Linked DNA regions of Arabidopsis thaliana. The protein of the gene in region 2 interacts with the protein of the main gene of each other region in a pairwise test. Each region holds a gene or a part of one and is shown on either strand. Other genes may lie near its edges. The genes, in order: AT1G25510, PIN4, NPC3 and AT2G41190.

Region 1 (7,179 bases), on a different chromosome or scaffold from region 2:
AGCCACCTGCAACAACAACATTACACGACCCAAGTTTTAGCTTTTGATGAGTCGTTTAATCTCAAATGTAGAAAGGGATAATGAGAGATATTTACTATTCTTTCGGAAATTTGAGACGCTAAGCTCTTTCCTCCAATTACAGCAGCAGTGGTGCACAAAAACTGTGCCCTGTATAGGCATACTATTTAGTCAGTAACGTCGCTTCAAACATATTACTTTTGTGATGCAGACACAAAATGATTGTAGCAGTTTTGCAGTGAAACTTACACAACTCCACCAAGGACCACCCCAAATGGATTTTCATCTGCAGCTAAACCAATTGTAGCAAGCTAGACAAGAGAGTTATGGTGAGTATGTGAAGCATTTAAGATTGAATCAATTCGAGTAAGTAAAAGTTACCTGACTCTTGTCACCCCATTCTCCAAAGAAATTAATCGAAAAAGCCTGCAAGTAGAGAGGGGAAATATGAAGTTAGTTCAGAAAAGTCTACTGCTTTTGTGAGCAAATTCTGTTTTAGTTACCTTGAGAAAAATTGGAGAGAAAAATTGCGTGAGGAACGCCCTATTCTGCTTTTTGTTTTCATCTTCTCTCTACAAGGACAACAAATGATTTGAAAACTTAGCACAGGCAATTTCCACTTGCAGTCTCTGATCTTGTCGTTTTGGTTCAATACCTTACTACTGTCTTTTGGAGATTTACCATTAGCCTTCAAATCAGCATCCTATAATTAAAACACAAGAACGTCAAGCCACAAAAGCATTTATCTAAACGTGAGAGCGAACATGCAGAAAGAAGAAACAAACCAGTTCTGCTTCGACTTCAGCCAATTCTTCCGAACCCCTGCCAACAAAGTCAGATAATCTGAATATCTTGGATTAAATCATCCTTATGACAACAAAATATGATGAAGAAGTATTACCCTCCTCCTTCTTTGAAACCGTCCCACAAAGACCATAGCCCAAAACCAAAGAACAACAATGTTGTTATGTGATGAGTCCATTTGCGAGAGATCTGAAGGTGAGGGTTTGAATCAGTATTTACTATTTAGTAAGAAAAAAAGGCTTATGTAGAAATACAAAATAAGTTGAAGCCATACCAGATTAGGAGCAGCCCATCCAAGAGTAGCAGAGAGGATAGTCATAACCTAAGAATTAAACAAAGACATAAGCTTCAAAATCTATGGAGAGAGGTCACTGAAACCAATAGGTCAAAGCATTCAGAAAAACTTACAATCAGAGCCGATAAACAACCAGCCAACACAAGTCTCCTAGGATAACGCATAGCCAAAATCTGATATGACAAAAAAAAAAAAGAGTTTAAGCTTGCAAAATCAAGATAACAACAGAAGTATCTTACACACCTTCAAAGAGCCTGTGGCAGATTCTAAACTACCAAAACACTATGAAACTGAATGGCAATATAAAAGCTACAGACAAAGGATCCAAAGATGCCATCTAGATTCTTAATCAGGAAAAGGCAATCCAATAAGTAAGACTTTAGACTTCGATTCATGTAAAAGCCATTGACTTCATCGACCTTAAACCCTCAATAGATTACATGAAGCAACAAAATCTAAAACTAAAGCGAAGAGGAGACGAAACACTTACTGCTGCAGCGAAAAACGTCTTGTCACCAATCTCCGATACAAAGGTCATAGCAAGTGACTTCGTAAAACCCTATAAAACCCCAACAATCATAAACCCAGATTAGCTCCACAACGATTCTTACGAGTTTACTCCCCAGAAAACATTAATCTTTTACTCTACCTGCAAAACCGAGCTCATGGCTGCCGAATTATAAAATCGACGGCGAATTAGCTACGAAGGAGAAGAAAAAAACGAAACTTTCGATTTTTCTCCGGCTGTGTTACAAAGAAGACGGAGTGATCAATCGCCGGAGTTAATTAACAGTCGTCGAGAGAGAGCAAATAGACGAGACGAACATTCGCTGAAGAGCTAAAAGATGAATCCTTTTTTTTTGGGGATTGTAGGTGAATTTGATTCTGATTCTTTAACCCTTAAGATCTTACCACGTGGATTGATAACAACCAACGATTTTAATGTGTGGGACCCAGAAAACCCAACTTGAGTTTAGAAGATGTTAATTTGTTCCCTTGTGTTGTTGTTTGCGACTTGCGTCACTTGCTCGAGCAAAACAATAAAGACTTTTACTTCTTTGATAACTAACTTGTCGCGATCACGATTGAGACGTAACGTTTAGAATAGTATAACACGTAAGTTTTTGAGAGATGCTCAAAACTGATTGGGTATTTTAGTATTTTTCGCTTATCTCAACTAAATTTTATTTCGTTTTATCCTACTATTTTATACAAATAAAAAAAAATTGACCGATTTCTGATTGGTGGCGAATTGATTCGCAAACGTATGTAATTATATTTGATTTGATCCAACTGTACTTATATTAATATTAATTTATTTAATTCTAAAATTGATGAATAACTAAAATCAGGTGGCAATATTCTATCTATCTCAACTGCATATCATGTTAAGCTGAGATTAGAAGTGTATTTTAGAATTTATAGTTTAGATTTAGGCAGCAAGGTTAATGAGTTAATGTAGTAGACTTGGGGTATGAAATGGCCCAAACATCCAAGTTAAAAGCCTAGATAAGAGTTACCCACAGGCCCATGAGGGACCATAAATTCACCATTTTTAAGTCAGCAAATTCCTCCACATTGTTAATACCTTAACATGATATGCATATGTATGTTTTTTTGTTGTTGTCAGATTGCGTATGTATGTATTGGTTTACAGTTATAGCTTTCTTTTTAGGTTAATTGTTTAGTATCATATAGCTTTATAGACATAGGTCTGGATAAAATGAAATAAGTGAGCTGTTATAATTTGAATGAAAGTCATCATTAACAAAGCTAAGCTCATAGCCAAATAAAATTTGTCAAAGTGCGAAGATGTGAAACACTCAAAAGTGGCTGACTTAATAAAATCTAAAACAACAATCTCCACACTAACCGCATTGAGATCATAAAACAAGTTTATTTAAATCCTCACACTTAAAGAGGATGAAGAAACCTCCTCTTCCTCTTTAACCATTTATCTAATCTTTGGATTAATTCTTCAAGAAGAGATACTTACTTATATAAATCTCCTCGAAATCTGCAAACCCCCAAAACACAGCTTGTCTTTGTTTTAATTAAAAGAAGCTTTTGTCTCATTTTCCCTTCCCCACCAAACACACTTTTGTCTTCTCTTTAATAAACCTCATTCACTTCATCTTCTTCACTGTTAACGGTCGGAATCTAAAAAATGTCTCCTAACTACTCCTTCTTCTTCTTCATCTTCTTCCTCACTTCACACTCTTCTGTTTTCTCCAGAATCTTACCAGAGACCTCCACAACCACTACCTCAATTCTCAATGTCGCTGACTCCATCCACAGAACCAAGTATACGTCGTCGTTTCGGTTAAACCAGCAAGAAGAACAGACTCACTCTGCTTCTTCTTCTTTCAGCTTGCAGCTTCATTCACGAGTTTCCGTCCGAGGAACTGAACACTCAGACTATAAGTCACTCACACTAGCCAGACTCAACCGTGACACAGCCCGAGTCAAATCTCTCATAACCCGTTTAGATCTAGCCATCAACAACATATCCAAAGCAGATCTCAAACCCATCAGCACAATGTACACCACTGAGGAACAAGATATCGAAGCTCCTTTAATCTCCGGCACGACTCAAGGAAGTGGCGAGTACTTCACACGCGTCGGTATCGGAAAACCGGCGCGTGAAGTTTATATGGTTCTAGATACTGGAAGTGACGTGAACTGGCTACAATGTACTCCTTGCGCTGACTGTTACCACCAAACCGAACCAATCTTCGAGCCATCGTCGTCTTCTTCTTACGAGCCTCTCTCTTGTGACACTCCACAGTGCAATGCCCTTGAAGTCTCAGAATGTAGAAACGCCACGTGTCTTTACGAGGTTTCTTACGGTGATGGTTCTTACACCGTTGGAGATTTCGCCACCGAGACTCTCACAATCGGCTCAACTCTAGTTCAAAACGTCGCCGTTGGTTGTGGACACAGCAACGAAGGGTTGTTCGTCGGCGCCGCCGGTTTACTTGGACTCGGCGGTGGTTTGTTAGCTCTTCCGTCGCAGCTCAACACGACGTCGTTCTCGTACTGTCTCGTTGACCGTGACTCAGACTCGGCTTCGACCGTGGATTTCGGGACTTCTCTTTCTCCTGACGCCGTCGTGGCTCCGTTGCTACGTAACCACCAGCTCGACACGTTTTACTACCTAGGCCTCACCGGAATAAGCGTCGGCGGCGAGTTGCTTCAGATTCCTCAGTCTTCTTTCGAGATGGACGAGTCAGGCAGCGGTGGGATCATCATCGACTCAGGAACCGCCGTGACTCGTCTCCAGACCGAAATCTATAACTCGCTTAGAGACTCGTTCGTGAAAGGAACGTTGGACTTGGAAAAAGCAGCCGGGGTGGCGATGTTTGACACGTGTTATAACCTTTCGGCTAAGACGACGGTAGAAGTCCCGACCGTGGCTTTTCATTTCCCCGGCGGGAAGATGTTGGCTTTGCCGGCGAAGAACTACATGATTCCGGTTGACTCGGTGGGGACATTTTGTTTGGCATTTGCACCGACGGCGAGTTCACTAGCGATTATCGGAAACGTGCAGCAACAAGGGACACGTGTCACTTTCGATTTGGCAAATTCTCTCATTGGATTCTCGTCTAATAAATGCTAAGCTGTTTTCATCAAAAAAAACAAAAATGCTAAGCTGTTTTTTCTATAAATATATTTGAGTTACAATGAAAAGGAAAAGTCACTTAAAAGATAGTAATGTTAAGTTAGAGTACTGTACTACTGTTTGGTTGTGTTTGTTTCTTGTACTTGTTGTTGCAATGCATAGAGTGAAAAAGAGTAAAAAAAAGATGGAATTTGTTTTTGCTAATTTTATGATTAAAGAGTAGAACAATGAATCTTGAGGGGCCTTGTTACAGGTCACATCACACACGAATGAATGACTCCTTCTTTTCTATGACGCATGAATACTCGTAGTGTTGAGAGTTAAAGCCCAAATACAATGTGTGATCGAAGAAGTTAAGCCCAAATACAATATGTGATGTGATACAAAATAACAAAATCTTTGTAAACCAAGAAACGAATGATTGAAAATACAATCTCTTATATGAGTTATGATCATGAAAGTGTAATCCCTAGTACTAACTGATATGAAACAAAGAAAAAAGTGATATGTTTATGGAAGATGAATTTACACAAAACTAAATTAACTCTGGTGATATTCTATTGGATATGTTTAATGAACTCTAATCATTCTATGTAAACAGTATTTTTTAAAAGAGTAACATGGCACAGAGATTTATATTATCAAAAGAGAAAGAAAAAAACATGGCACAAAGAGAGGTGGCGAAGTCATGGTGCCACTACTTGCCATCACAACATATGAAGTGGCAGCTATGGGTTCAATCATTTTGTCCTTAAAAAAAAGCTTTATTTTCCTTTCTCCTTTTTATATGTCAACCTTTTACTTTCTCCTTTGTTCATCCAAAAACATTCTCTTACTTTTACAGTTTCATGCTAGACATAAAACTTATGCCATAAGAGCAAAAAACCTGGATAAAATTCAATGTTTTTGTTAATATTTTCACAATTAAAATAGTGGTATATTTGTTGACAGAAAAAACAAAGAGTCGTAGATTCAATAGATGATTTTGACCGGTTCTTTTAAATATCTGAATAATGAGGTATACAATTCATACGTACATTAAACAACGTCCAAGCAAAAAAAAGAAGAAGAATACATAATTATATAATACAATTTATATCAAACATTTACCACACTTCCCTTGTAGGTGAATTTATAAAAACTTTGACATAAAGTTTGAGAAAACTATATGCAATTTTTCTGTTATATGCATTAAAGGTCCATTTCCAAATAACAAACAGAAATAAAGCAACGAACCAAAAAAGAAAAGAAATAATTTTGTGATAGGAAAATTAAAAAGAAAAAAACGTGAATAGTTACGGAGGGAGAAAGTGTGATCTGAAAACGACCACTGCTTATCCAATAAAAAGGAAGAAGACGAAGAAGAAGAAGAACCGCTCTGACAAAACTTCTTTGCCTCACTCTCTTCTCTCATCGTTTTTCATATTTCTTCTTTGATTCACGTTTCTTTTCTTTTCCTCTCATTGACTATTCTCCCTCACTTCTCTCTCTCTCAACTCTTGTGATATTTATTCAAAGATGCTTCCATGAAATTTGGTTTTGGTCAGTGAGTGAATCTTCTCTTCTTACTCCATCATGAGTGACTCCACTAACAGCGTCTCTCCTTCCTCTGATTACGCCTCCATCTCCTCCGGCGACCAGGTTCTCCACCCTTACTCAATTTCGATCTGGGCACGAATCTCTTTCTCTTATAATTTCTGTACAAGCGAAGTTGTTATGAGAATCCCTTTCTGGGTTTTGCTTTTTAGAACATAAAGTCATTTCCTTTACGAGTGTGATCTTGATGAACTCATATCTGGATTTGTTCCTTACATGTTAAGAGCGATTGGTTACTTTGGCTTTGTAACTTTAATCACGGGTCAGTCGCAAAGTTTTTTCTTTTTGATAGAAAATGTGTCTTGTGTGAGTTTGATCACTTTATGTATTTGCATTGTACTGATATGAAGTTTCAGAGTCGTTGCTTATGTTAAAGCATAGCTTTTTGTAGGTCTCAGACTCGTCCATGATGTAATTTGAATGAATCAATGTTTTCATTTTGATTTGCAGAGTCTTCAGCGGAGTCGAAGGAGTGGAGATGGAAACCGAGCCGTTGTGCGTGAGTCCCGCCATTGGCATGATGTATTCTGGTCAGCCATCTTTGTGATCCACTTGATTTGTTTGGGATTTGTGCTCGCGGTGCTTGGACTCAATAGGTTTAGAATATCAGATAGGTTAAACATCGATAGGTACACTCAAGGGTTCTTGGAGAATCATAAAGGTCTAACAGAGGATTACTGGCCTCTCTATGCTGTTGCTGGTGGCATTGGAGTCTTTATCAGTTGGGTTTGGTCATTGCTGCTTGGCTCTTACGCCAATGAGATGATGAAAGTTTCGGTTCACATCTTAACAACCTATCTAGCTGTAGTTAGTGTACTATGTTTCTGGTGCAGACTGTTCTTTT
Region 2 (8,519 bases):
AACTAATTTTTAACTAATTAAATTCTAAATGACATATGTTGATTTTTGGGGAAAAAAGAAAACTTGTGTTCTTTGAAGACAAATTATAGTTGCATTAATGTTGTGATCTAAGTCATAAGAACGCGAAACACTGTAGCCGTTAAATTTAGTGGCCCATCATAACTTGGGCCTTCGACTAGTTCAGTGGTTTGGTACCTCTTAGTTAAATTCGGTTCGGTCCGGTACCAAATAAATTTGGCCGAGGCCTAAAACTAGTTTGTGTTTATTTCGAGACACCAGACTTGATCAAGACATCAGACATACCCCTCTAGCTCATTGGTTTGTTAAACCATCAAGCGTCTGCTTAGGGAATAATAAGGACGCTTTAGCTCTTTTGAGTTTTGAGAAAATCACAGCTGTGATCTTTTCTTTTGCATGGGACCAGAATCCAGATCATCGTGTCTTACCATAAGATTTGATCCATTGCGAGATATTACATGTAACGAACGAACATGCATATGTTTATTATTATAAGCATATATATATATGAAAAGAGCATTGATCTTGTAGGTACGCCAAACTCGATACGTTTCTATCTAAGGGTCTATAATTCTATTTATATCATCGTAATCTTGATACTATAATATGTGTTTGAATGCTAGTTTATTTGTAGTTAATGTAACAAACAAAAAAAACGATTAATGGTGAGTGTGACTCGTGCTCTCGTTTCTTCAGTCTTCGCCATGTGATTAGGTGTGTGTTAGAAAATATGTCGTTAATTATAACAAATATACCCCCTCGTCCGAAAATACTCAAATCTCCTAAACAATATCCCATGATTATTGATTGGTCGTATCAACTATCAAGTAGTGTTAGGTCAAACTCTATTTGTCTAGAAAATAAATATATGGATCAGACATGATTGGGTTGGACATATAATTGAAGTGTCTTATGCGGGCGGAATAATAATAATATGATCTTGGACGGGAAATGATATACAGTACTCAAGTGCTTAATCCATGATCCTTTGAATTTGAGCAAGTTTATCTACATCACAGGTCTGGTAGATAAAGATGTGAATGATATTCTTACGACTATATATTTTGGTTACCAAGCAATAATCATTGTTACAATAACACATATATATTGTGGAGAGAAACAAAACTATAATTTGTTATTACCAATTCATTCGGATGCCATACTTCTTCAGTCGGCTACGATGTAAGTTTGATTTTATCGAAAATGTTGAGATCAATGATCACGGGTCAAGACGGCTTGCAGGGAGCTCGAAGACAAGTTGAACGTTGCCTTCGGAGATAGTGAAGCCGATCAAAAACCGTTTTTCAATAGTTACAATATCATTGAACTGATCTCCACATTCTCACTTTTCTATGTTTCCTGGTTTGTAAGATTTTTGAACGATCATTTTAATTTGCTTCCATTGTATATTTAAAGACCAAAGTCTTGATGGATGATGAAGTAGACTTGAAAATTGATGAAACCCGTTATTGTGTTGTTGTGTTACAAATCCCATCTATGATCGTTGATCTCATAGATGATCATTGATCATTTTTCTCATTTTTCTATGATGAAGTAGACTTTTTCCGGAAGGCTTATGAGAAAAAAATACTATTCTTGTTTTGTAAACATATGTGTTCAATAAAGAATCTATTTTCATTTGCAATCATTCGGATTAATTAAAGTGATTGCTGGATGAATGTTTTGAATCTCTTTTTACCATTTCGCTACAAAAATAAAAAAATTGCGAATTTCGCATCCAGATATATACTAGTATTAAGCATGGGAGATTATTCACTCCTCGAACACATCCTATGACTATGAGTTACACAAATCAAAATTTTTACATTCCAACGTTGATGATCCTTTGGATTTGGTATTTTTCCATGTCATACTATTGTAACTTTGTTTGTAATTTCTTTCTGGTCAATATTACTCTATTGTGGATGCAAGATCGCATAACTAGTCCTCCATCGAATCAAACATGATCACAATTTTAAGAATCAAACTGGACTTTTATATACCGAAATAAAGTTACAAAGATTTCGCTGAGATGTTCTTACTTCTTAGAGCTAGATGAGTAAGTAATATTAGGGATTTTCTAGTGTACAATTGATGCCTCTATACATTACTCTCCATCAGATTTATAGGACTTGACCTCGTCTGCTTCTCTGATATTTCCCAGAAATCTCGCTCCTTTTAGTTTCTGCTTGAATCTATCAAATCCTAGTGATTTTGCGACCACCTACTTCTTTATTCTTTCCTTTTTGTTGGTTATGTCCAAACTGATTTAAGAGTATCCACATTGGTTATTTTTATGAGTGTTTTTAGATGGCTATTTTTAAATATAAAAGAGTAAAACAAATAAAAAATATGAGGGTCATTAAAATGAAAATTATATCTTCCTAAAACATTTAAGACATCTATACCTTTAATATTATTTTATATGAAATACATCTATGAAAAATTATTCGATGAGGATGGTCTAATGAGTCGGAGAGTCTCAGACCAACATCTATCTATAACTATTTTTTTTTTCACTGGAAATATAGATTTCATTGATAGAAGATCTGAGTACAAGAGCTGACAAGAGAAACACTCTTCTAAAAGCCGGAGAGTACATGGGACCTTCCAGGAACTAAAAACATATTTAAATGAAACAAAGGGGAAAAAAACCGATCTAACAAATTACATCACATCTGATCAAGTACTTCCCAGACCCAAAATCCAAGAGTTCAAACGAAATATACAAAGTCTAAAACAACAATGATAAACTGATAGATCTGAGACTAGAAGCCTCACTTAACTCAACCTAAACACGAATGGGCGATGAGATAAAACCATCATCCAGAGACCCAAAGGAGTGAGAGCCTCATGAAGGAGAGAACGAGATCGGGATCTTCAGGTGGAATTTCAGAAGTCTGAGGCGAAAATTTGGATAGAAACGCTTCTGCCTTGGATGGATCGGCCAGATCTGACTCTGTTCTTGAAAAAGACAAAAGACAAACAGCAAAAACCTAAAAAGAAAAAGTTTTAGACTTTAAATATCTAGATCTGAAAATTCAGATTCACAACCGTTGGAAAAAAATCTCTCAGATGTGTCTAAAGAAAAAAGATAGAATAAGAGCAAAACAAAAGACTTCGGTTCCGGTGCTGAGAAAGCCACCGGAACCGGTAACCCTAAACGCAGGCGGCGGCTGAAGTTTTAGAGATAAGGGAGAGTAAAATTTTAAGAGTGAGAAAATGACGAGATGTGAGCTTGTAAATACTTTTTGTAATATAAGTAACTATAAGTAATATTTTTTTTGTAATACCTCAAATTTTATTTTTAATGATATTTACAAGTTTAACAAAACAAAAACAAAAAACAAAATATTATTCTAGTCATAGCAAGTGAGAATTTTTGAAAAGGGAATAAATGTGTGTAATTAATTCAACGGTCCAACAGTGGCTTGGACCTAACACTAATGACATTTGTTCTTCTTGTAATTTTTATGTGGCTGTCTTCTTGTACCAAGTACGTAGACAATAGTTTGATTCTATTTGGAATCAAAACTCAAATTACATTTACAAGAAAAACGATCACAGATACAGTAATTCGTAGTATTCGCCAAAGTTCCTTTTGCAACTTTCAAAAAGTGCAAAAACAAGACCACTTTTTCGTAATAAGATAGTAGCAAAAAAGCACGACTATTCCATAAAACTGTCCACGTCCCTCCAGAAAACTCCCCCCACATGCGATTTGCCACGTGTCCCCACTCAACTACACACAAAGCCATTTTAAATCAAATTATTAATCAAACTTAAAAAACGTAATCGTGTGCTGATGATGATGATGACACTGTCACTGCCTCAAAAACCTCTATAAATTAGTCCTCTTCACCGAATCCTTGTAAATCATTACTGTACTTTTCTCTCTTAACGGTTTCTTTATTATTCTTCCCATTCTACCCCTCTTCTTCCTTCTAATTCCCCCTCAAATGCCACTGTCTTCTCACTAAACTCCAAAACCCACCGGAAAAAATGATTACGTGGCACGACTTGTACACCGTCCTCACCGCCGTGGTACCACTTTACGTAGCTATGATTCTCGCCTACGGATCCGTACAGTGGTGGAAGATATTCTCACCAGACCAGTGCTCCGGCATCAACCGCTTCGTCGCTATCTTCGCCGTCCCTCTCCTCTCCTTCCACTTCATCTCCACCAACGATCCTTACGCCATGAATTTCCGCTTCGTCGCCGCCGACACGCTTCAAAAAATCATCATGCTCGTCTTACTTGCTCTATGGGCTAACCTAACCAAGAACGGTAGCTTGGAGTGGATGATCACAATCTTCTCTCTCAGCACTCTCCCAAACACTCTTGTCATGGGGATCCCTCTGTTGATCGCCATGTACGGAACCTACGCAGGTTCTCTAATGGTCCAAGTCGTTGTTCTTCAGTGTATCATTTGGTACACTCTCCTTCTCTTCCTCTTCGAGTACCGTGGCGCTAAGCTTCTTATTATGGAGCAGTTCCCGGAGACTGGTGCGTCTATTGTTTCGTTTAAAGTTGAATCCGACGTCGTTTCTCTCGACGGTCATGATTTTCTTGAGACGGATGCTGAGATAGGAAACGACGGGAAGCTTCATGTTACCGTGAGGAAATCAAACGCATCGAGACGGTCACTGATGATGACTCCACGGCCTTCGAATCTTACCGGAGCTGAGATCTATAGTCTTAGTTCGACTCCGAGAGGTTCTAACTTTAACCATTCTGATTTTTACTCTGTTATGGGGTTTCCCGGCGGGAGGCTTTCGAATTTTGGTCCGGCGGATTTGTACTCCGTTCAATCTTCTCGTGGTCCGACTCCACGGCCTTCGAACTTCGAAGAGAACAACGCCGTTAAATATGGATTTTACAATAACACTAACAGTTCTGTTCCGGCGGCCGGTTCGTACCCGGCTCCGAACCCGGAGTTTTCAACCGGTACGGGTGTTTCAACTAAACCGAATAAAATTCCTAAAGAAAACCAACAGCAACTGCAAGAGAAAGATAGCAAAGCGAGCCATGACGCTAAGGAGCTTCACATGTTTGTTTGGAGCTCAAGCGCTTCTCCGGTCTCCGACGTGTTTGGCGGAGGTGCAGGCGACAACGTGGCAACGGAACAATCTGAACAAGGTGCTAAGGAGATTCGGATGGTTGTCTCTGATCAACCTCGAAAGAGTAATGCTAGAGGTTCTTTTTTTTTTTTTTTTTTGTCATCAAATATTATTTAGCTAAAATTGCGGAAAATTGTTTACATAAATAATATGCTAGAGGTTTGTTGGTTTAATTTTATTATTATTCGAATACTATTATTTTTGTATGTATTCATGATTTTTGGTTTTCTCAGGTGGTGGTGATGATATCGGCGGTCTTGATAGTGGAGAGGGAGAAAGAGAGATAGAGAAAGCTACAGCAGGGCTGAATAAAATGGGGTCTAATTCCACGGCGGAGCTAGAGGCGGCTGGTGGAGATGGCGGCGGCAACAACGGAACACATATGCCGCCGACAAGTGTGATGACACGACTGATATTGATAATGGTGTGGAGAAAGCTGATCAGAAACCCAAACACGTACTCCAGTCTAATCGGTCTCATATGGGCTCTTGTTGCTTACCGGTCAGTGAGTCCAATCATTTTCTTACTTACAGATTTTATGGATAAATGTTATAATAAGAAAAGGAAATAATATAATCATCTATGCATGGAATAATTGTAGTGGGAACTAATAATGAGTATGGGTTGTTTTTGGAAGCAGGTGGCATGTGGCTATGCCCAAAATATTACAACAATCCATCTCCATACTCTCAGATGCTGGTCTTGGAATGGCTATGTTCAGCTTAGGTAAACACTAACCTTGCTTCATGCAAATCTAGACTTGTTTTGATGATGATCTAATCTTTAAAGTTGGGTTCAAATTTGTTCTCATCTTATCTGTTAAAAAAGATTCATTTAATGCAAAGTGGGTCTGTGTGTTTAATTAGTCGTAGTTGTCCAGCTTGTAATTGGTAAAAGTCATATAAACTGTACAAAGCACTTACCCAAAGAGAGAATCCTGACCCTCTGACCCAGACATGTTGGTGTGTCCGGTCCCCACGCCGAGTCCCCACTGGCTCTGTCTACTTATTTGGGTCTCACCAAGTAGATGACCTAACTCTTTGCTGTCAATTTTCTCAAATCCTTTTAGTTAATGAATTGCTTATTTTTGGTGTAATTTTAAGGTTTATTCATGGCACTTCAACCCAAAATCATTGCTTGTGGGAACTCTGTCGCCACGTTTGCCATGGCGGTCAGATTTATAACCGGTCCGGCCATCATGGCTGTTGCTGGGATTGCCATTGGCTTACACGGCGACCTTCTCCGTATAGCCATCGTTCAGGTATACAAATTTATAACGTTACATGATATAGCTAGGTCTATTATAAATATTACATGATCACGATGATGATGTTGATGAATGCATGAATTATTAGGCTGCGTTGCCTCAAGGAATAGTTCCGTTTGTGTTTGCAAAAGAGTACAATGTGCATCCCACGATTCTAAGCACTGGGTAAGTTCCAAACTTATTTTATGTTACAGCCACATTTTTATTTTTGTTACAAACTTACAATATATTAACAAATGTGTGAATGATGGTGAAAAATATGGATGCAGGGTCATATTTGGAATGTTAATAGCCTTACCTATAACTCTGGTCTACTATATTCTTCTTGGCCTTTGAATTGGTCCCTTCAGTATCAACTGGCTTTTGAGAGAGCCTCGGAGATTGGGCTATTTATTTCTCGGTAACGAGGAAATAAGCAAAGCCTTTATTTTTCGTGGGAAAGAGTGGAAGGTGAAGAAGAAGATATGCCTTTGGTTTTTGGTTCCAATATTTGTGGAACACAACAAAAGTACTTAGGATTTAGTGAACAAGACTTGAATGGATTAAGGATCTTGTCTTCATTAGACGCCAAGAAGAAAAAATCTCTCTTCCTTACCTTTATTTTTTCATTTTCTGTTTTTGTTAATTTATGTGTAGATTTTGGCTAAGCAGATATGTAATATGCACCTTTTTTTATTAATTGAAGTTTCTAGTTAAGTGGTTTATACTGAAACTAGCTTATGAGTTGGATTGAAATAGTCCTATACTATATATATACACCCTCGTACTGATTTATTTTTTCCACAAATACCATTAATATTAATTCATCGGGAAGAGATTCTCCGCTAGAGAGAGCCATTCATGAACCATTATGCTTACATAGGAGAAAATATTATTTCTACCCCGAGCTTTTTTAGCTAAACAATCAGTTCGAGTGTTAAAACTACGAGAAAAAAATCTAATACGGAAAGAAAGGAAAAAACAAACTAAGGAGCGATAGGATGCCAATTCCGCTGCGAATGTCGGTCAATCGTCTTGATTGTCAATGATAGAAATCAGGTCTGAACAGTCAGAAGCAAAAGTTTCAAAAGACAGTAATTTTATTTTATTACAGTTAATTTAAGCATATTCCTTGATAACAAACACTGTTTTACGACAGAAGCAAAATCCTAATCTCTAATTAATTAATCCTATGATCATACGATGCATGTTTACGGTCCCGTTTTTTTAAGAATACACGATCTCTAGCAGAAAAAAATCTCAAAAAGTTTATGTTAACTTCAAATTCTGTGAACTTCCGCACATGAATCTAAAGACCACCCTTTATAGAAAAAATGGTCCCGAGACTATCAAACGTAGTCTTTATAATGTCAAAGTAGTGTGAATCTCATTTTTCAAACATTTTTAATGTTATGAATTGATCATCTGATTTTCGTATTAGGATTGGTCATTCAAATACGGTATGATTACTCATCCAACAAGTAGTAATTTAACGAGGCATCAATATACTATATAGAAAACAAAGCAAATATTCCGAAACTAACATCAAAACTAATGGGAGAGTGGATGTGAAGAAAATTCAATGGAATGCAAAATCTAAGATGGACCAACATGCAGGCTTCGCCCGAAAGCGACGACGCATTTCACTTGACGACAAAAGTTGCCATATTATATCTTTTGCAAGTAAAACTTGTTGTGTTACTCGTTTACACACATGCCCCGATATTCTTATTCTTATCTATATGCCCATAGAAGTTGTGAGTTCTTTTATTTTGGGAAATTCTAAAGGATTCGTTTTGAACTATACATTTTTAAACCTATAGAGTTCAAACTTTTATGGAAAAAGAAAAACTTCCCACGTGTGTTTCGAACATCAAAATTCGAGCATCAAAGTATTATAACAACATGGACCACATTTTCGATTATATCAACATGTATATCTTCGTGGAACTAATCAACAGTCAAAATGTTGAGTTTATCATATTTTCGTGGAACTAATCAACAGTCAAAATATTGTGTTTATCATATTCCCACATAGTATCGATAATATCACCAAAAAGTTTTTTTCATTCCTTCAAAACTGAACAACTTCGATCATGCATTCACTTTGAAAGTAGCAGCTGGCTATTCCTTT
Region 3 (7,779 bases), on a different chromosome or scaffold from region 2:
TAATAGTAGAATATGATTTATTAATAATTTACCCAGTCATCTTGTATTATTCAGTCAAAAGGTTTTTAGTCCTGTATTTTTTTATAAATATATTTTATTGAATAAGATTTATTTATAATTTACCCAGTCATATCGCTAAAGGAAGCGTTTCGATATTTTACATTTTCTTTGAGAAATCCCACAATATCATAACAATAATTCCTAAATCTCAGCAAGAACCACACTCTTTCTTCTAACGTCTCTTTTTATCTCTTTTTTTTCCTTTTAACTTTTGATTTAATCTTCAGTATTGAGGAATGCTTTTTGTCTTCTTGTTCTCTGGTTGCAGAACCCCGTCAAACACAAGCTTCTGTTCCTTGGACAACAAGTTACAACCACAAACTAGTGTTCGCAAACATATACAATCTATTCATTCAGTAGAAAGGCTAGTACAAAATGTCAAATAGATATTCGAAGAACCCATCGAACCAGTAAAACTCTTAATCTCTTCCATTTCGTGTTAATTTTCTGTGAAATATGTATTAAACCTAATGTTAATCGTTTGTAGAAATTCAAAGTCACAAGATCTTGACCTCTATGTGAAAGGCGTTCATTTTCATCTTAACAAAGTAAGCTTTTGAATCCGATTTCGCTGAGATTTATCTCTTTTTGTGGTTTCTTCTGATTTCGAGGGTTTCGATATTTGGTGTTGGTGTTTGGTTAGGAGACTTTAGCTAAGAGATCGGCGAAAGTGACGACATTACTCGAGAGTAACAAGCTCCATGAACTGCGTTGGATCATCAGAGACATGGACATCAACCCAAGTATCTTCCACCTCGTGACTAGATTCTGTTATGGATACAAAATCGAATTATCAGCTGACAATATCGTCTCTGTGTTATGCATTGCTTATTACCTAGAGATGAGCGATGATCATAGCTCTAACAACTTGTTGAACAAGGCAGTTACGTTCTTGGAACAACGAGTTCTTATGAGCTGGAGTGAGACCGTGAAAGCTCTTTGTATCTGCAGCGATAAGATTTTGGACAAACTAGCTAATGTTGGACTCATCGAAGTTTTCTTAGATTCTCTTATCGAAAAGGCTCTCAACGATACTAGGTTGCTCCAAGATTTGATTACATTACCACTTCGGTTATATGAACCATTGATTCTAGAAGTGAGTAAGCACAATGTCTCGTTAGAAAACCTTGTGGCCTCTGTCTGCAATTACGCGAATAGATGGGTTTTCGAGAAAGATTCGGGAGACGGAAGCGTTTCAAGAAACAAGAGAGAAGGAATTGAAGCTGTTGAGAGGCTTTTGCCTCACCAAAGAGGAACAATCTCGTCTGGATTTCTGTTCAAATCGCTGAAAGAATCGATTTTTCTTGGTGCTTGCTCTGATTGCCGAAAAGGGTTTGAAGTTAGGATAAGTAACCAGCTTGACATGGCTAGAGCAAAAGATCTCCAGATTCTGTCACCAACAGAAGATGGATCTTATGACATCGAGCTCTTGAAAACCATTCTCAAGAGCTTCTATAGTAACGATAGTGTCCCGGATCTTTCGCGGTTTGTGAGTGTAGCGAGAATGTTGGAAGAGTTTCTGTTGGAGGCTGCTGCGAGTGATGCTGGTTTAAGGGTAGGAACATTCAAGGAACTAGCAGAAATTGCAGTTGCTGCGTCTTGTGATGTGCTGAGTTACTCTGATGGAATATACAGAGCGATTGATGTTTACTTGGAGAGGCATAGAGACTTGATTGAATCGGAGAAGATGGAAGCTTGTAGGTTTCTTCATTGTAAGAAACTTTCACCCGAGGCTTGTGAACATGCTTCAAAGAACGAGAAGCTTCCATTGAGGATTGTTATGCAAGTTTTGTTTGTTTCTCAGATGCAGATTCGGGATAAGGTGGCTAGAGAAATGAAAGGTGTAGTGGAGAGAACAGAAAATCAAGTAGATGAAGTGGAGAGTATGAGTAAGAAGTTGTTAAAGCTCGAGATAGAACCTGATTACATGAAGAAAAGAAAGATTGAGAATCTTGAATGTGTTGTTCATTGCGAGAAGAAGAAGACAAGTGTGTGGAGAGAAGTAAAGAGGAAGTTTGGTTGTATGACTTCTTCTACCATGGATGCTTGCAGTTGTCATATCAAGAAGAGGAAGACTTATCATAGCTACAAATAACAAAGGATCACTCTTTTGTTTTGTTAGAATTTGCTTTTTGTTCAATTTAAATTCCTCTGTTCTGTTCTGTTTTTGCTCTGTTTTGTTGAACCCTTCGTTAAAATACTCTGTTTTTCGCGGAGGTACCTCTCCTAATGAACCTCATTCGGAAATGTAAAACATAAAATTTGGAAAACAAACAAATATCAAATTTCAAACGCTCTTCACATAAAATCCGAGAAATACACCAAATCTCACAGAGATCAAATCTGTTTCAACTCAAGATCAATTATCACAAATCAAACACGAGAATAACTTCTGAACAAAAGACTTAGGAGTCGAGTGACGAGTAGATCCTTTAGAAAGATCAACGATCTCATGCTCATCACGGCCTTCTTCTTTAGCCTTCTTGGACTCACCATGGAATCTAGTGAAAGCTTCTTCTACGTACCTAGCCGCATCCAAAACCTTCATTTTATCTGCGAGCTTAAACGGGTAAATGTCTTTGATATGATCTCCTTTTAGTACAGCCGCTGCTTGAATCAGTTCGATTTGAAAATCAGTGAGATCTTCGTCTTCTTCTTGTGTTCCAATGTCTATGTCTCTTGCCCTAGGAAGTTCCGGTAATGTGACTGTGTAATAATCCAAAAACTCATTAAACATATATTGCGTTTAATATGGACTATATAACCAACTATATATTTTACCGGGGCAGTCCGTCCTTGGGCTGGTCCGGTTGATGACAGCATCGAGTGTTCCAGCCCATTCGTCACGCTTTGTAAGAAAGCTCTTGAGGTTGAATATTTTCTTCAGTGTTGCCGGAATTGATGAATGTTCGAACTGCGACGTTGGCTCTGGTCCATTTGGCTCGTGTAACACTAAAAAATAATGTCATCACCAGTAAATTATTATAACCGGTTTTGACCAACATGACAATACCACACTAAAGTCTAAACTAACACAACTCGGTTCCAATTCAAAACATACGTACCCGTTCCAGGTTCGATCCAAGGCGAGATTAGCAAAGCAGGAACCCTAACACCAAGCCGGTCAAACTTAAAGTTATAGGGCTCAGGTCCAACTAGACCATCAGGATTTGGGACACCAATGACTGGAGTAGGGACGTGGTCATAATAACCACCATGTTCATCATAAACAACAACGAAGAGAATCTCGTTCCACTGAGGACTAGCTCTTAAGGCTTCGTAGATTTCTTTGACTAGATTTTGGCCTTCAACGACGTCGTTTTTGGGATGGTCATCATTAGCTGGAGCCGACAAAATCTTGAAGTACCTTGGTTCTATAACCACATAGTTTGGAAGCTTCCCTTCTTTGCAATGCCTCTTGAAGCTTAAGTGGTATTGATGGAAGTTGTCCACGTACTTCAGTTTCCTCATGTTCCTAATTTAAATATGAGTCTTAGCGATTAAGTTATTACATTTTACACTAATCACTTTTAATGAGTATTAAAAAAGTATTAACTAAACGTAAATTTTTTCCGTGGACAGTTGGACACATGCAAAAACCTAATCGAATCTCTCTCTGTCATCCGAAAGGTTAAAAATCAAATATCAAGATTAGTAATCCCGTTAATAAACCAAAATATTTCTAGAAATCATTTTCTTCTTCTTTTTTCTTATAATTCAAAAATATTCCAAGCAACTACTCCACTTTCTTATAAACAACAAATAGAAAGATTTCAGGCATGTGGCAAATACCTAGGACATGCTCATTACAGGAAGCTTTTTCAACAATAAAATAAAATAAAACTCAATCATGGAGAATTTAAATTCATTTTCTTTATGTTTCAATTAAGTAGACATTGCAATCCAGGTGTCATCACCTTCTTTTTTTTTAAGATGTCACTACAATTCATCGGTTCATCATTATCTACCATATGTTTTTTCTTAAAACATATATTCGTATTCGATTTTTTCCTACACTAAAATCATAATTCGTAACTTTGAATTTTACTTTTCTAATTATATGAAATTTAAAACAAAAAGAAATACCAATTATTACCTGTAAAAGAGGCAATTAGGAAAGGATTGGTAATAAATTCCAAATGTGAAACCGCTCTCTTCAAGTGATTCGAACACTGTCCTCTGAGGAAAGCCACGAACAAGCGTGTTAGTGTCATTACTAAACGCACCGTTTGATGTCGCCGCGTGGACGTAGAGTCGGTTAGGCTGCGTGGACGAGGGCAACGACGAGAACCACCGATCGCAGACAGCGAATTCTTGAACTAGTTCCTTGAATACCGGAAGTTTCTCCGGCGGAAAACCTTGCATCACTACTTTCTCCGACATCCCTTTTGTTATCGCCTCTGCGTTTTGTACGAACCCGTTCATCTTCGGATCCGGGTACGGACTCTCGTCGCTGAATGGTTTTCCAAACACTTGTTCGTAGATCGCCTGAAATTCAATGATCGTCGATAAACCACTCTATCAATTTCCCGGTTTAGATCCCGAACCGAATTATTTAAGAAGATATTTATGGTTCAGTAGACCGGTTAAGAAGTGTATATTTCTATACAAAATTAACGATGATTTGGAACTAAACCGGAGTTGTACCTGAAAAGAGTGACCGGGATCAGGATCAATGTTCTGAGATTCTTTGCCGAAGAAGATTTGAGCAGAGTTCGGGTCAGATGTAGAAAGTGGGTTGGATCTTGGTTCGGATTCGGATACTCCATCGATTTCTGGGTTAAGCTCCTTGAACCAACCTAACATGTGATCGAACGACCTGTTCTCCTGAACCAAAACGACGATGGTTTTGATCGGAGAAGCCGATGAGCCACCACCAGAGCTCGTTTCCTCCACCATACTTCTTTTACTTTTTTAGAACAGAAATTTTGACTTGTGTAGTTGTTTTCCCTCTCTGTCTATCTCTCATAATTAGCTGTGTCCGTCTAAATGGTAGCCTTATTATATACTGGTAACTAAACGATGTGTATTTAATTTATTTTATATGATTAGTAAATCACATAAATGGTATAGTCTTAAACTTTTACATGTATATGATTGTTTGCAAAACTCTTGGGCCCGGGAGTGTATTCAATCTTCTATTTTGAATGATTTAAGTTATTTTAAATTTTTATATAATTTTGAAGAATTTGGGTGAATTTAAGGAAGTTGTTATGATTTATTATAAAATTTTCTCAAAATTTACCTAAAATCATGAGACTTAAAATTCTGTATTTTTTAATTAAGGAAATTCACTAAAATTCATTTAAGTCTCTTAAAATTATTAAATCTAATTTTTAAAATATTTTTAATAAAAAAAAATTAATGTAGATTTTAAAATCACAAATTTAATAACATTAGATTTCATAAAACTTTTAAAAATCTATAATTAATAACATTAGATCTATTATTTTAACACAAAAACACTTAAATATTTGATTGAATACACCTTGTTTCATTTTTTGTTGTCACCTTAAAAACTCTGCCTCAAGATTAAAAAACTATTTTTCTATATACTATCAATCATATACATTCGAATCAACTCAGTGATCTTTGCATATAAATAAAACATAGACGGTGAATTTTGGATATCGTCACATTTGTTTACTCTCACGTTCGGTGAGGTGGCAGAAGAAATTACTCATCTTTTATTTAGTGCATATGAAAAACGTTCTCCAAAATGAAAGTTTATATAGATACAAGTGCTTCTCATAACTATTTCTACGGTTCTACCATTAGTCCATTATTATAAGAAAATTAATAAGGTTATTGGCGATATACATTGAATATTATTACTTATTAATCTCTCTATCTATGAAAATAACAATGGAGTAGATTGAATTAGGTGTTGACCAATTATTATTGCTAAAACCATAGTCTATAGCACGTCTCCGCATGAGTCGTTTTAAATAGAGTTTTTCCTCAGGGAAAAAACTAACCATACATTCGTTGATTACTGTGTACTAACTAATGTTTAAATAGCGTAACTAATAATATGTGGTATTATGACAGAATGTTGCATACATACGGTGTTAGTTAGTACAGTATTTCTTATAATCATTACAATTAAAATTTGGGACCCAGTAGCTAGATTGGTTGCCTTTAGTGACTTTAATTAGTTTTTAGTCTTTTGGTATAATCTACTCACCAATCGAATAATTAAAGTAGATCTCATCTAAGATATAATTGCTTTTATACACAAGAAGATTAAATATACAACTTTTACAACAACAACAAAAAAAGACGATTAAATATACAAATAATCGTGTAAGTTCTTCTACGACAAAAATAATTTCCACATACACAGACAAATTACTACAAGTTGTTCGAATGTGATTGTGCTAGTATGACATGATCATCATCATCATCATACACGCAAAAAACGATGTCGTCCTTATCATATCCTCTTTCACTTGCTTTCTAGACTCCTCTAGAAACTTCTCAAACGCATTTGTAATGTAATAGGAAGCATCTGCAACACAAGTTTCTTAACGTAATATGGACTCTAGGAGGGGTGACAACTGCACTTTCTTCTCAACCTGAATCGTGACAGGGTTGTGATGCTACAATGAATCAGAGACTTAGAATTGATCAAAAGTCTTATGGGAGTTATGCTTGAAAATTCAAATTCAATAATTGTACATGATGAGTCGGGGTAAGAACGATAGTGGAAAGGAACACACGAAATCTTTAAATGTTTATTTCAGTCATGGTATGAAAAATTTGAATCTAATCGCATATAATTACATATGTAAATAATATCTCTCATTATTAGTTCATTTTAGTCAATTTAATATAGCTGTTGACAAGAAAAAATGAAAAACAAATAACTAGTTAGAGTAGATCTCATCTAACATATAATTTTTATACAAGAATATCAAATGTGCAAATAATTGTGGAAGTTCTTATACAACGAAATTAAATATGCAAGAGACTAGTAAGGTTTTCTTTTTTTTTGTCTTAAATAAATTCCACCCACACACAAGAGAAGTGACTACAAATTATTATTATAACATTTATTCTCTTAGTCTCTTTCAATCATGGCGAATAAAGCAAGAGAATAACTTATTGAAAAAAGACGTTTGCGTTTTTGGTTGAGCAGCAGCATTTGATGCTTCTGAATGTGATTGTGGTGGTATCACAACATGATCATCATCATCATCAACGCAATAAACGATGTCGTTCTCATCACATCCTCTATCTCTTGCCTTTCTTGACTCTTCCAGAAACTTCTCAAACGCATTTGTAACGTATTTGGATGCATCTGCAACGCAAGTTTCTTTACATAGCTTGTGGATTAATTCTTCGTTTTTGTAGTCTCCTTTTAATCCCGCAGCCATTATAACGAGATCTTCTTGAAATTCGCTTAATTGTGCATTTTCTTTTGCCATTGTCCCTCTTAGTTTAATCGGAGTTGATAATGTTTCTATTTAAAGAAAAAAAACTGAAGTTTTAGTCGATATTATCCTACCTAAATTGATAGAGAAGATGAAAGAAAAAAATGTAATTACCAGGGCAATCTTGTCTTGGTGAGTCTCTCGTAATAACAGATTCAAAAGTGCCAGCCCATGAATCTCTCTTTGACAAGAAATCTTTGAGTTTGAAAATTGTCTTGACCGTTGCGGGAATTGACGAATGCTCATATTGTGACCTTGGGTACGGCCCATTTGGCCCATGAAT
Region 4 (8,085 bases), about 17 Mb from region 2:
ATTTACGTTTGTGAGTATATATAGAAATCTTTCATTTGTTTGTGGTTTTTTTATTTTATAATAATAATCAAACCGTATTAGTTTTAGTTGGGTTTATTGGTGTAGTTATGTAATAATTAACCTCAAAATCCCAATTTGGTGGTAGTGATTTTGTGATCAGTTTAATCTCTGGTGTAAATGATCACAAACGGAAAAGAAATAATAATCCATATAGAGCTTTTAAGTTATCACGGACTTTAGTTGAACATTTGGATAGATGTATGATGTATCCCTTTTGTTTTTTAGGATGACCCCATCTCTGTATAATAGACGCAATAATACATTTATATTTTGGAAATTTGGAATGAATGATAGAAGAGTTTTGTTATTTTCTTATCATTTATTAATCACATTATTTTATATTTACAATCTACAAACACACTATCTTATGGAAATATTCGTTTGATACAAACAACATTTAATGAAAACAACAACTTATTTCGTACGAAATGTTTATCGTATAGTTGACTATTGTGATATCTTAAATTGTAGAAATATTCAACGCTTCACAATTTTTAAATTCCTCTAGAATTGTGATTTGTGAGCTATGGTTCGATGTAAAGAGAAGAAGAAAAAAAACCTGAACGATTTATGAGATAGCCATTTTCAATTCAAAAATATTTTGTTCTAAACACATGAGTTAGCATTCGCTTGGAACAATCTTATCTTCTGAGGTTTGTTTGACTAAAAAGATGACTAATGTTTTGACGCTTGTTTCGCACGGCCAATAGACCGACTCCTTTCAATTTCAATTGTCAGCAAGAACTGACACATTAATATATAATTTATTTTCTATATGTTTACTTTCTGTTTGTGATCTCTATGTTTACTTGTCACCATCTATCATATTATTACTGGTTAAGAAAACTAATTTATTATCGACTTAATGTACCTTATAGTCAATAAAGGTATATGAACCAACCAATTCCATATACATAGAGAAAACTAATATGATTTTTCTTCCTTAAGTTTCGCTGTAAATTTTTGTCAATGGTTAAGAAAAAAAAAGTAAAAAAACAATTGTATATAAGAATGTTTTTAGGGAGCATTAAAACACTTTAGCAGGACCGACAAACCTCAAGTCTCGTAATTTTCCTTCCACCTTGTTAAGTCGGTGATGACGAGACGGGAGATATTTGGGTCACTAAATGGCCGATACTAATTAATACAATATCGTTCAACAGAATTATGTCAATCTTAACCTTGTAAAAACTGTTTTTTTTTCCTCTAACTTCTTTCCCGTTGGGTTTGCCTATATTTTCGATAAATTGAGTAAATTTCACTGTTAACTAGTCGTCTATTTTCCTCCTGTGTTAAATAGTTGTGACCCGATAATCAAATTGTGACACTCAAAAAAGCAGATTTTTGAACATCATGAGAACCAAATTTTAAATTTTTTGTTTTACATATCTATCTTTTGAGGTTAACACCTCCTTGTTTATTTGTGTTGTTAATACTTATTATTAATGCCTTTATCAAATAGGCGAGCTCATTATACCCAAATCTAAACATGAGAAAGATGCTCAGAAAAATGAAGAGATAGTAGATACACAAAAATACAAAAGCAAATGTGACACCTATGAGAAAGTAAACCTTTCACTAGTTTTATTAACTTTCAAGTCCAAAATAATCTTTCATAATCAAGAGTTTATTAGCTTCAACAAAAACATTCAACTCAAAGTACAGGGGATAAACTATGGGTCTCTTTGTCATGGAGTTCCTTCACTGATAGTTCCTAATGATCTTTGCCACCGAAGAATATGTCCCCAAGGTCCCGCTTACCACCCCGATGGCCACAATGATCGAACTCAGAATCATCTGTAGTACACAACTCAGTGTTAATCTTAAGAATCCAAATACAGAAACTCATCATCCCATAATAATTTCAAGAAATTGATAACAGGACAACAACAAGGCTCAATTTATATACCTGTGTTCTTGTTGCTTTGTTCCCCATTATCTTTATGAAGCATAAAGCTGGCATTATTATTGCCTGAACCATACATACATTTATGTAAAACTGTTTTGAGTGTCACATTTTTTGAAAACAATAATGTTCTTAAGATATTAAAGAGGATGATGGAAACTAACCACTAGTATACTGAGAAGAGATCCTATAAGAGCCATCATAAGACCTGTGTGGAAAATAAAACCAATTGCAAAAAAAGACCATTAAGGAGCAAATCTAGTAAAACGACACACGAGTGAGTTCTCAACCTTTCTAGCTTAATGTTCTTACCAAAAAATGGAATAAGGAAAGCAGAACAAACAGAAGAAGCGACGAGTGCTGTTCTTAGAAGAAGAAAGCACCATATGTTCTCTGACATTCTTTCCGGTAATAGTTCTTCTATACTCCTTGCAAGTGGATTCATCAGGAGAGCGTATTTTGTAAACGGACTCACAACCTGAGAAAAGGAGAAAACAGAACCAAGATGAAGTTTTAGTGTAAAATGGAACTTCCAAAGATTATGGAGAGAAAAATAAAAACTGGTTTTGTTTTCTAACCGTTGTCCACTGTGCCACTTTTGAGAAAAATTGGTCCTGTGGCATGTTTAGTGTAATCTGAGACAAGGTAGCTTCTCCAAACATGAGATAACCCATGATTGCAACTCCTCCGTATAACAAAACACATATAATGAAACTGCAATGTAGCAACAAAACAAAAATTGTTGGTTTCAGAATTGGATTATTAAACATCAAAAGCTAATATAAGAGTAAAGTTTTTGGTTTTACCAAGTGATCACTGCTTTGTTGAATTTGGTTTTATCAGCCATGGATTGGTATATATTTGGGAACACTGAATGTCCTGAATAGCAAAACCCGTATATACCAATTGCAAACGGTATCCCGTTCCATTTCACAGCCTGCCCGGTGTGATGAAACCCAATCCCGCCCGTTGTACCGAGGAAAAACACGCTTACTGCTATCAAAGCGGTTGCGATAACTCCACCGGCTATAGAACCAAAGAAAAACAAGTGAACTGATTCAATATTCTTGACGAAAGAATTCAATCATATGAAGAAAACAAAAATGCAGTTGATTGTACCTGAGAGGTAGGAAATGATGCGTAGATCTTTCAACCAAACAGTTGGAAGAACAATGAGAGCAGTTAAGATTCCAAATAAATGCTTAGAGTCAAGTCGGAACCCGAGCAAATCCAAGGATGTACCAGGGAAAAGCCCGGTAAGGTTATCTCCTTCCAAAATGATGAATTCAACACAATATGACTACAGAAAGTGGACAGCGAATCTAGTAAGTTTAAATTATAGAGACAGAAACAAGCTCTAGATCCATGAGTAAAATTCGGCTACAAAAAATCTTCACTTACATATAGTTCTGTGTACAATAGCATCTGCACAAAAGACACATAACATTGCAGAAACCATAAGCAACTGAAAACAGAACAACTGATCAAAATAATCAAAAGGAAGATAAAATCTATGGAACCACTTACACAGATAAGAATACGACCATATTTGCCAAAAGCTGCTTCTCCAATATCAGGATAAGTGATAATGCCGGTCTTGTTCTCGAAACAGTCTTTCATTAAAGTAGCAGTGTAACAACAAATAACAGCAAATAAGAGAAGAATTACCATACTTGCCCAACCAGCTTCTTTCACTGTATAAGGTGTTGAGAGAAGTCCAACTCCAGCCATTACATTAATAGCTGCAACCAATATAGAGTTACACATGTTTTCTTAATTAGGCCAAGAATCATAATCAGTTTTTAGTTACCATTGAAAATGGTTTGAATGACGCTGCATCCATAGCCACCAATGGGCAATTCCTCAGCAAATGAGCCTTTATGAGACCAAGCAGATTGTGTAGCTGAGGCTTTGTCTGAATCATCATGCCTCTCAGGAAGCAAAGGTGCTTTTGACTCAACATCTAAATTACTTCTGCTGGCTCTATAGAAACTCGGAGGATTACTCCTGAGCGACCCGAAGATTGGTGATGCCGCAATCGTATAAGAATCAGTCGTTTCCCTAAAAGAACCACAAAACTTGTCAATGTTTCATCACAAAATCTCAAATAACAAAACTTTATGAGATGGGTTACAAGGAAAGTTTCGAGCTTTACAATTAATTACCTGAAGCTTTGAGGCCATTGAACCTGGGAAATGAAAGGTTCATCGATGTCGTCGTCACGATCAACAGCATCACCAGGAAGATCTCCGAGATCGCTTTGATCAGTTTCACTGTCGTTCTCGTACTTACTGCTGTTGTCTTCTAGATCTTCGTTATCTTCGTCATCTTCGAACGTAACGTCGGTTTTTTTCTCCTTATCATTGTTCTTGTCCTCCATATTTCGAACAAACCCAAGTAAGAATAGATCTAGAGAGTATCAAGAACCTTAGAGGATTAAATCTCACCGAAAAAGGAAAAAAAAAGATCAAATCTTTATGATTGATTTTGGTTACAGAGTGGGTTCGAGAACTTTGCAGAGAGGTGGCAAAAGACTAATAAGGAAAGCTGAGTGTCTGAGCACAAAATGTCCGTTTTTTTTTAATCAAGAATTTTACTTTTTCGAGGATTTGTGTGATTTGATTGCTCTTGTTCTCCGTCTCTCTCTGTTCGCGAGAGTTGATTGCCCCTAGTTATAAGGCGGGAAAATAGTGACGTGGCGGTGATGATAGAGACTAGAGGAAAGAGATCAAAGTTGAGAAGCAATGTTTTTAGACTTTTGATCGACGACAAGTGTTGCGTTGAGATGGTTCGATATATTGATCCCTCGTAGGGATGTGTTGCCGTAGCCGGGATCACTAGGACTTGGAAAGTTATATGTTCTAGTATTCTCCAAAAATTTAAAATAAATATTCAAAACATAGAATAATTTATAAATGCCTAGAATATTAAGAAATATATAAAGTTTCAATATTATGGAAAAATCATGTTTCTTGTAAAATATATAAAACGGTTTTTAGCCTATTGACAAAAAGAATTCATAACGCTTAGTTCCAATGATATCTATTGACAAAAGGAATTCATAACCTTTCTCTCTTTATTTCTTTCACGTTTAAGATATAAATGGCGAATGATACCATGAATGTTGCTGGATTCTTAAGCTTATTCTACCTTTTTTTTTTTTCATAGGCTTAGTACTTACTTAAACTCATTTGTTGTTCTAAATCTAAGTGTCTCGCAAGAGTCCAAAGAAGGAGATGGGAGTGACTCAAGGTCGACGAGGGAATGGGGTGTAAATGTAATCGTGTTAGTGAACATAGAAATACATTATCTCTATGTGGTGACATGTGAATTTTCTCCAAGTGTCAAACTTCCATATGCTCATTAACAATCCAATAATTTAAGCTTTTTGACAAAATTGTATTTTTTTTGGTCAATTATCTCCAATGTGGTTTTAAACAAAGATATATATTAAATAAAGATTTACATGCCTTTTCCACCTTGATATTTTGCAAATCATGAGAATCTCTTCCTTTTAATGTTGCCAGTTATATAGGTTAAAAACATATTTGCATTTCAAAAGGAATATTAAAAAAACTTAATTGTTCTGCTACATTTTGGCTTTCAAAAGTCATATTGTGAGTCTAAAACTATTAAACTGTAAACAAAGGAAAATAAAATAGTATTTATATGCTATATGTAAAATATGAAATGAATAGACTCACACTTTTTCTCTAGATCCTTAAGTTAAACTGTCACGCTTCCGGTACGTGGCTTATCGATCAGGAAATGCCAAGATACTGATCCCACCTCACAAGTCACAAGTCACGGTCTCCAAAATTTATTTCTCAATATTATCCTTCAAATTTGTTACGATATGCAAAAAAACAAGAAGAAGGAAGTTATCACAATATGGGTCAAGCTCTCAATACCGGTTCGTCCTTTCTCTTTCTCCCCCAAAATCACGTCTTTCATTGATGTTCACTTCATTAATAAAATTATCATTTTTTTGTTTGGTATACTTAATTATGGAACGAAGCAAAAGGTAAAGGAGAGGTAGACGCGAAAGACTTGGAAGCTATGGCTGAAAATTGCTACCGCAAACGCTTAGAAGAAAAAAATGACGATCAAGAATGGTCCTTTGGCGACTTCTACCGCATTGTGGCTGAAGCAGTCGAGTAAAATTCTTTTACTTGTTAAGTGTTATAATGAAACCAATATGAGTCGGAAAGGATTAGATTTGGTTATTAAACCATTTTCAATAACGATTTTCTTTCGAGTTTTTGAGACAAATTATTTAATGCTCATGGGCGGTTTATAAGTCAATGATTTAAGAAATAAAAATAAACGATAAAGACTCGAGCCATATAGTCGGCACCATGATATTATGATTATGGTAATGATATTTACATGTGATGTGATATTCGTATTTTATGTATTTGGTGCGACAGGGAAATTAACAGAAGACTCGGTGGCACTCAACTTAAGGTGCCAAGTGTTGAGAAACTACAACAAGCTTATGAGGTATTAAATTCTTTCAATTTCTATTCTTCATTATATAAGTTTAATGACACTTCTTTTGATTTGATAAAATTAGGTAAGGAATTTGTAAACATTTGGTCTCTTAACCTTTTCTAAATTTAATAACACGAAAAGAATATTAAAAATGAAATATATACTTGAGCAAAACATAATTTATACCTAGCGATTAGCGAATATGATAAGTATTGTTATGCAACGATAAACATTAAAAAATAACTTCAACGCTTTTGCCCAAATCTAAGTCTCTGTTACATAGAGAGGCTTAGACTTGGTTTACTATAAACCAAAATAAGATTTTACAATTGAATCACAATGTTTTAACCAATTGGTTTAATTACTGGGATCAAAGATTTATCATCTTCTTCGTCTCTTATACTTTTGAAACGAGCAGATACACAATCTCGGGCAGGGGAAGAAGCTATCGAAGGACGAGTTTCAGAAGCTTCTTCAAGAGGTTTTAATCGGAGTTGGGTTCACCGGCGTCGGAGGAGTAAAGGAATTTCTACTTTTCATCTTCGGAGTTCCTGCGATCGCCGTCTTCATTAAGAACCGTATAGCTCCGACGTCCGTTCCCAACGACTTGTTTATCCCCGCCATCACTTCCGCCACCGTCTTCCTCCTCGCCAAGCTCAATAAGATATGAAGTCTCTACTAATTGTTTGATCCTTTCGAGCTTTGCTTTGTTTGCTAAATTTGTATTGGTGATTTGATTATATGTGTTTGATACACGGAGAAGCTTAAAGTTTCACTCTTTGAGTTCATTTACTAGATTGATGAAAAGGAAAAAAAAATGAACTTATGTTGTTCGACAGAATGCCTCAACGAGTTTAACTCTGTTTTTTTCAGTGATTTTAACTAACGAACTTATTCGTCTAAATTGGTCCATATTTTAAAATATGAAATAAATGTCTTTGTGCTAGAGGGAAGCAAGGAGATGCTAAATATAGAGAATTCGAGGGTCTTGCTTGTTTCTCTAAATTTCAAGGCTTTCATTGGTTTGAGGATATGAACGAGTCCTTTCTTTGAATGACAAAATTAGTTTCTAAAACTGATAAGAAAAGATGAAATCTCGGAGACATTTTTTCCCTTTTAACTATTTTTTTGGCCATTAGATTTTTCTCTGTTTTTCTTTGTTTGGTTTGGAACATGGTCTAGAGAAACATTCAATCCAGTAATGCTGCAATTTGTAAGAAAAAAGTAAGCTCTTTGCCTCCGAGATTCACAGAGGCAAAAGAAAAATGACCTGTGACACATATGTTTGTTGATGATACCTTTAGGATTGTTATCTAGGTACTAATAATATACAGGTTTTTAGATAGACGTTTCCTTAGTTTAACATAATGAGCAAGGACCAAAGCTATGTTCTAAAAGCATGGGAGGTGACCGTGCGAAAGACTCAGCAAGCGAAGAAGCGGGCTAATAGCGTTTTTGGAACAGTATCGGTAGCTCCACATACAGATAATGATACTACAACTGATGATAATGACGATGAGACCACCACTAACAGGAGCAGCTTAGAGGAATTCTACCATGCCGAGAGAGTGCTTCCCAATGGGGACTACTACACGGGGCAATGGTATGATAGTTTTCCTCATGGC

Evidence for each region.
Region 1: the proteins of PIN4 (region 2) and AT1G25510 interact in a protein complementation assay, tested with the Arabidopsis thaliana proteins (one large-scale study listed by BioGRID).
Region 3: the proteins of PIN4 (region 2) and NPC3 interact in a protein complementation assay, tested with the Arabidopsis thaliana proteins (one large-scale study listed by BioGRID).
Region 4: the proteins of PIN4 (region 2) and AT2G41190 interact in a protein complementation assay, tested with the Arabidopsis thaliana proteins (one large-scale study listed by BioGRID).

What each region holds. Positions count from the first base shown.
Region 1 is NC_003070.9:8,956,929-8,964,107, reverse strand, and holds AT1G25510 (Eukaryotic aspartyl protease family protein), read left to right. Parts: upstream 1-2,924; 5' UTR 2,925-3,284; coding exon 3,285-4,736; 3' UTR 4,737-5,021; downstream 5,022-7,179. Other genes in the region: AT1G25520 (Uncharacterized protein family (UPF0016)), read right to left, coding at 1-6, 96-168, 268-329, 400-444, 522-590, 674-721, 804-840, 920-1,011 and 4 more; AT1G25500 (Plasma-membrane choline transporter family protein), read left to right, coding at 6,315-6,380, 6,786-7,179.
Region 2 is NC_003071.7:178,701-187,219, reverse strand, and holds PIN4 (Auxin efflux carrier family protein), read left to right. Parts: upstream 1-3,455; 5' UTR 3,456-4,020; coding exon 4,021-5,215; intron 5,216-5,372; coding exon 5,373-5,640; intron 5,641-5,779; coding exon 5,780-5,865; coding exon of another isoform or gene 5,866-5,876; exon of another isoform or gene 5,877-6,242; coding exon 6,243-6,400; intron 6,401-6,494; coding exon 6,495-6,571; intron 6,572-6,675; coding exon 6,676-6,742; 3' UTR 6,743-7,187; downstream 7,188-8,519. UniProt on the Arabidopsis thaliana protein: Acts as a component of the auxin efflux carrier. Plays a role in generating a sink for auxin into columella cells. Maintains the endogenous auxin gradient, which is essential for correct root patterning.
Region 3 is NC_003074.8:835,553-843,331, forward strand, and holds NPC3 (non-specific phospholipase C3), read right to left. Parts: upstream 5,094-7,779; 5' UTR 4,960-5,093; coding exon 4,708-4,959; intron 4,549-4,707; coding exon 4,157-4,548; intron 3,536-4,156; coding exon 3,126-3,535; intron 3,013-3,125; coding exon 2,842-3,012; coding exon of another isoform or gene 2,807-2,841; exon of another isoform or gene 2,767-2,806; coding exon 2,420-2,766; 3' UTR 2,253-2,419; downstream 1-2,252. Other genes in the region: AT3G03510 (Phototropic-responsive NPH3 family protein), read left to right, coding at 788-2,155; NPC4 (non-specific phospholipase C4), read right to left, coding at 7,134-7,525, 7,611-7,779. UniProt on the Arabidopsis thaliana protein: Possesses specific phosphatase activity toward lysophosphatidic acid (LPA) in vitro. Does not show phospholipase C activity. May play a role in signal transduction and storage lipid synthesis.
Region 4 is NC_003071.7:17,165,800-17,173,884, forward strand, and holds AT2G41190 (Transmembrane amino acid transporter family protein), read right to left. Parts: upstream 4,761-8,085; 5' UTR 4,347-4,760; coding exon 4,132-4,346; intron 4,028-4,131; coding exon 3,777-4,027; intron 3,709-3,776; coding exon 3,494-3,708; intron 3,392-3,493; coding exon 3,368-3,391; intron 3,267-3,367; coding exon 3,086-3,266; intron 2,993-3,085; coding exon 2,773-2,992; intron 2,681-2,772; coding exon 2,545-2,680; intron 2,445-2,544; coding exon 2,279-2,444; coding exon of another isoform or gene 2,175-2,278; coding exon 2,131-2,174; intron 2,033-2,130; coding exon 1,970-2,032; intron 1,858-1,969; coding exon 1,762-1,857; 3' UTR 1,480-1,761; downstream 1-1,479. Other genes in the region: AT2G41200 (uncharacterized protein), read left to right, coding at 5,858-5,879, 5,985-6,123, 6,397-6,469, 6,879-7,130; PIP5K5 (phosphatidylinositol- 4-phosphate 5-kinase 5), read left to right, coding at 7,828-8,085.